Kluyveromyces lactis: one gene and its partner. The protein of the gene in region 1 interacts with the protein of each later gene in a pairwise test. Links are inferred from orthologs where the notes say so. Each region holds a gene or a part of one and is shown on either strand. Other genes may lie near its edges. The genes, in order: KLLA0_F19965g and KLLA0_D08811g.

Region 1 (3,354 bases):
TACATATATTACGTAGCACCTCTAGGAACCAAACTGACTTGCCTTGGCCATAGCAATGTTACGCTTCCTGTTTTTTTATTTTGTTCTTTTTTTCCATCACCGTCTTTGCTAAAGCATATGGGCCATGACAACAGAGCCTGATTATTTAATGAGATATACTTGGTGCAGAAAGAGGCAGAATACGGCGAAATTCACTCAGCATCTTCTTTTTTTTTTGCTTCAAGTAGATGCTGACACATGGAAATGAAGAAGAGGCGAGAACGACGTATAAGCGGATTCTGTTTCGTTCCTCGAACTCATGAAAAATAAAATATTTTTAATGTTTTCGTCGTATTTCTCATAGATATCATTGGCTGATTCTAACTAGGTCATGCCATCAACTGCAAAGCTCCTAGGATGAGCCTCCTGCTGTTAAGTTTATCCGAATACCGGGATAGATGCGGTAGTGAGCCTCAGCGAGCCTCAGCGAGCTATAGAATATGAATATGCAATAGTGTTCTTTCCGTTACCCGATGAGTAGTTAACGGAAGGGAAAAAAAGAAACATCTGATCCGAAATTTACGGCTATTACAGACGGATGGACCCTTTATTTTAAAAACCGTTCTCTTCTTCAAATGATAGAAGCAAATACAGTAATACTTCAATGCTTGCTCTATTGCTGCGATTGTTAACATTCTTTGAGGACAACTCGAAATCCGTGGTAATACGTCTGGAGTGTAATTCAAACTTAGATATCTTTTCATGTTACTATTGGTTGTGTGTGACGGAGATATTCGTAGATCTGACAAATGTCAAATTTATAGCATAAACTTGGGAATTAACGAGAGTAGTAGAAACTAAGGATACAACATAGTATCAATTCTAGTGAATCCCAGATAACTATCCGTTCATGACGGCGATTACAAGATATTAACACCAAGAGGCTCATGGCAACATATAGATGCGTATATATCACATTATTATTCAGATTTTCCGTTTGTCATATAGAAAAAAAAATGTATGCATGAAATTTTGGGATTTGAAATTTAAACTTGTATTACAAATGGAAACACATTTTGAGTATTTCAAAGACAGAAGGGTTTTAGATATATACGGTACTTGTAGGTTTTATAGTTTGATTCTTCGTGTGTTCTGTTTTTTTTTCAGATGTCTACTGTATTTAATATTTTGGGATGCTTGTAGAACTCTAAGTCTACTAAGTTTACGGTTCAACTTGTATTTTGTTGATTCTTTATTGAAACTGTGCATTTCATACAGTTGCTTTGGTGGCAGTGAAAAAATTAAATTTGGATCAAGATTACTAGATTCCAGAGCCTGAGTGTTAGATATTAAAGACTCGAATTACTTTGTAGAAGATGGATATTGTCGATACTAGTGAAGCTTTGATCAATATACCAGAACTTTTGGCCCATGAAAATATTTATCAGATCCAGGTGGGATCGAAATTGTTTAAAGTTAGTGGTGCATCGCTAAGCAGCGATGGTCCCTCTTTTTTCACTGACTATTTCAATTCTCAAGAGAATGCAGATGCATCTCACGTTTTGACCATCGATAGATCGGATGTTGTTTTCGAGACTATTATGGCCCATTTACAAGGATATCCTCTATCAATATTGGATGAGAAAGAATTCATTACCTTATTTTTGGATTCGTTGTACTATAGATTACCTAGGTTAAAGAGAATGTTGCAAAAATACGACTATTATTTCATTAACATCGGCGGTAAGCATTTCAAATTCTCAAAAAGTGTCTTCGATAGACCCGGAGACTCCCCTAATTATTTTAATCTTTTGATCGACTCGATGTTGGTCGATGTGGAGAACTTGTTCCACGATAAAAAAATGATCAGACCCCCATCTCATTTCATCCCATTCGTTACTAGATCCAGTGAATTGTTTCAAGAAATCCTAAATCTCTTAACGGATGACGACTACGTTGTACCTGGTCATATCTCTATCAATAATCTTTTAAGAGAGTGTAAGTTTTACTGCTTGCTTAATTTACAACAGAGACTCCTTCCTCATAAGATCACTAGTAATCCATTTTGCAAAAGAGAGGAGATCACTATGAAATTACAGCATCTCAGAAGAACGGGGATGAAACTATTGATGCAAAGTGAAGACATAAATGAATGTATCATTCGCAGTGATTCCGAATCTGAGGAATCCGCTTTTTGTCCCAAAAAAAAAAGAAAAATGGAATCTCCGGCAGAATGGGATATGATCTCTTACCAACGCCCTTATGTGGATAAAAATCCGAGGGATTTGGTGGTACAAATCGATTCCGGTGACTTGACTCTTTATTTCAATAAGAGAATGAAAACTATTCACGTCAATGTTGCTAACCCATTGGACTGCCGTATTTTGAAGAGTTTGTTCACAGACATCAGGAAACAACGCAATATCAATGAATCTCAATTCGAATATCCTAATTTCAAGGGATACGTTTTCCTCACTTGCACGATAATAGCTGATTTGACTATCAATGGATTGCCATGTAAAAACGTCTGCTCGAAAATCGATGAGATCAAAACCAATGAACAAATCTACGATTTCAGTAACGGCGATGGCATGATGCCAGGTTTATCCTTATACGTTGTAGGGCCCTCACTTTGGCGCTTGGGGGTAAAGAATGAGCATATCATCTTCCTTCCACTAAAATTGAATTGTATCTCAAATTTAAGACAGTTCAATAAGAATTTGCAATTTGTCTGAAAGAAAGTCTTTTTGCGCAGAGTCAGACGTTTTTAATTTTTGACCTATTTCCACTGAATTTTTTTACTGCTTTCCTGAACTGTTACTTATGTAACATCTTCTCACCGTCTCCCATCATTTGCATATTTCATCTCTCATTATCCTCTTAACCTCTTCCTCTTTGTCAGCTCATCTTAGCCAAATTTTTTCAGTGCATCATTCTATTATCTAAAGTTTCATTCTTCAAGCTTTTCGATGTAGGAGTCGCATATTTTCTTTACGGAGTTTGACACATTGGCCAGCTAGTACCAGTCGAATCTGCTCATCTTCTCGTTCACTGCTGTCACAAATCTCATTTTAAAAACGTTTACTTTTTAAGTTGTATTATTTTTGCTTTTACGCGACTCTCGTGATTCGAACGGAGGAGGTTTTTTATTATAGACATTGTTTTTTTTTTTTTAGTATATATGTATTATTGTTCACAGGCTTTTTTTGTGTACTTGTCGCAGCTGGCGACACATATTCGTTAACCAATCATTCAATTATCGAAAAGCTTGGTACTCCATTTTGAATTTGGCTCATTTCAAGTTGTAAAAAAAAATCTTAAATCTCTTTGTAAAACGGTTCATCCTTATGCAGGGGAACTGCTGATCATCTCTGT
Region 2 (2,892 bases), on another chromosome or scaffold:
TTCGAACCGGGGTTGTTCGGATCAAAACCGAAAGTGATAACCACTACACTATACAACCAGTTATCATGTCGTCTGGTTTTCTTTCAGAACTGATATCTACATGTTGGAACTTGTTGGAACTAGTCATAATGCATGACAGGGTAATACCAATATAATAGGCGGTTAATGATAGTTTTGTGTCACTGACACATAACAAAGTATATAAACCAGTACTTAGATCTAATCTACTAATTAGTAGGGATCAGATCTAAAGACACTAGGTGCATCTAATTATACTAGGAGATATATAGCTAATCAAGATGGATTCTTCTAATAAAGATCTGACAAGATCAAAGCCACGTGACATGTATAGTCACATACCGCAACACTACAGCTGTGTAGAGAGTTTCTAAGGAAGCTCCTTCATATGAGAAGTTATTTCCTAATCAATTGCATGAAGGGAGAATTTTCAGGTTTTAAGTAATGGCGTGGTTTCTGTCGTTCGTTCTTCAAACACACAACCAATGTAGGCGTTTTTGTACTGCTATCGTTAAGACGTACCTTTAGGTTAATTAAAAACTGATCCATATCAGACTTCAAAATGATGTCAGCGTTTAAGCAGGTACTTGCTTTAGCATACACTGAAACCAAGAACAAAATCGAAAGTGTTTGACTATTACTAGTAAAAACCACATATATACTACAGGCTGTACCAGTACCATGAGGTAAACACACAGCCATGAAACATACTGGCTTGACTCTCATTTTTTAATGTGAAGTTTGCATACTATTTATTTCTTGTTCAATTCGATGTGTTTGATAAATTTTGCAGGGTTACCTGCCACAACGACATTAGCATCAACGTCTTTAGTGATCACACTTCCAGATCCAATAACAGCATTGTCACCAATTGTAACACCAGGCAAGATTGTCACGTTTCCACCAATCCAGACTCTATTTCCAATTTTAACTGGGATACCAAACTCCACGCCTTTCGAGCGTTCAATAGGATCCAGAGCATGTGACGCTGTGTATATATGTACACCAGGTCCCAGCAGAACATCATCACCAATTTCAATTTTACAAACGTCTAACATAATGCAATCGAAATTGGCGTAGAAGTTCTTTCCGACAGTGATGTTAGATCCATAATCACAACGAAAGTTTGGTTCAATAAAGGCGTTGTAGTGCTTTCCCAATAACTGATCTAGAATCCGTTTTCTAAGCTCTTCATCTTCTGGTTTGGACTGGTTGAAATCGTAAACCAATTGACGTGCTTTGAGTCTTTCTTCTACGAGTTCAGGATCCATACATAAGTATGGCTCACCTATAAGCATCTTCTCTTTTTCGCTCCTTGTCATTGTTAAAATGGCCTGTGAATATCCTGATCCAATCCTCTTTATTATTCAGGAGACAGTATAATTAGATTAACTTATCTTGTAAGGATGTTCAAAAGCTGAATAGATTCAAGTGGTTGTAAATTCCCCAGTTTTTATATGCGTTTGAAGGTATACTTCGGATATGTCTAAACGTCAATTTCTCTGCAGTGAAACCTATGTGGAATGAAAATTACACCTATAAAGTGTTGATATTTCGGAACTTTAAGTAGCTGCGGAAAAACCCTTGCATAAAGGGAGACATACCGGAATATCGGAATACCAAATGCAAGTGTCGTTGCATGATACTGTAATCGATTGGAGATAAATCGCTGACGATTCGAGTAAAATTTCATGACAATTGGTGATACATTGTTCAGACCGTGTAGTAGAACAATGGAGGATATCGTTCATGTATGCCACGGTTTAAGAATTGGAATGGACTAATGAAATACATCCACAAAGGGGAAACTTCCAAAGTATTTTTTGGTGGAAGTACATTGGCAATTGATCTTTCACTCCGTTTTGTACTTTTTATTGTCATAGTATTATAGCACTTGGCAGTTGAAGGTTCCTTCTAAGAAGCACTCCAGAAGGGTTGAAAGGTGACAAGGCATTTTGAGTTCATGACTAGCACTTGAAAATGTGCTTCTATAAACAACATCAGAAGACATGATAGCTGGTTGTATAGTGTAGTGGTTATCACTTTCGGTTTTGATCCGAACAACCCCGGTTCGAATCCGGGTACGACCTACTTTTTTGTTCGTATATGTGAATTGTGTATGTATGTTAGAGCGTGTAGCCAGCAAACGCACGGTTGAAGAAGCAGAACCCTTCTCGACTTTCAAATGACACACTGTGCTAATTCTTTAATTACGTTAACCACATTCTCTTTTAACTACAATCTATCTGCTTTCTTACGAATACGAATGTCAATTTAATATTCCAAACCTAGACTGACATTTCCTGTTCGAAAAGACTGATTCAGCAAAAAACCACTAGTTTAATGTTGTAGGCAATTTATTGCCTAGGCCAAACATAACAATTCAGTTCTACAACCAGGATATGCACTTGTTTTACACTGAATCGACAAGCGTGCACTGATTTTTTTTTAAAGACTTATCTCTGACCTTAGCTGCCCTCATCGTATTTCTGGCTGCGTCACCTCTTGCTCGTTTGAACGATAACTTCGAATCACCAAGAAAAAAAAAAAAATAAACAGCTTAAAATAATTTGCGTATATATGAACACATAGGATAGTCATTTTATTCTACGATTGAAAATATGAACCGTACTTTTCGATACCTTAACTGCATCAATTACAGATAACATCATACTGTCAAGATGGGGAAAGTTGCTGAATTACTTTCGCATCCACTTGAATTGAAAGCAGCCTTAAAATTGAAGTTTTTGAGAAAGCCATTATTTCCAGATGTCGTGATTGAAGAATCTGCCGATCTTACGAGATGCCACGAGCTTTTGAAGTTGACTTCCAGGTCTTTTGCTGCAGTGATTATGGAACTTCATCCTGAATTGC

Evidence for each region.
Region 2: the proteins of KLLA0_F19965g (region 1) and KLLA0_D08811g interact in a two-hybrid assay, tested with the Saccharomyces cerevisiae proteins (2 studies listed by BioGRID). The link is inferred for Kluyveromyces lactis from reciprocal best matches to the Saccharomyces cerevisiae genes MRX16 and YJL218W.

The regions. Positions count from the first base shown.
Region 1 is NC_006042.1:1,858,754-1,862,107, reverse strand, and holds KLLA0_F19965g (uncharacterized protein), read left to right. Parts: upstream 1-1,355; coding exon 1,356-2,714; downstream 2,715-3,354.
Region 2 is NC_006040.1:743,276-746,167, forward strand, and holds KLLA0_D08811g (acetyltransferase), read right to left. Parts: upstream 1,341-2,892; coding exon 771-1,340; downstream 1-770. Other genes in the region: KLLA0_D08789g (uncharacterized protein), read right to left, coding at 415-744; KLLA0_D08833g (uncharacterized protein), read right to left, coding at 1,904-2,029; ERG9 (bifunctional farnesyl-diphosphate farnesyltransferase/squalene synthase), read left to right, coding at 2,700-2,892.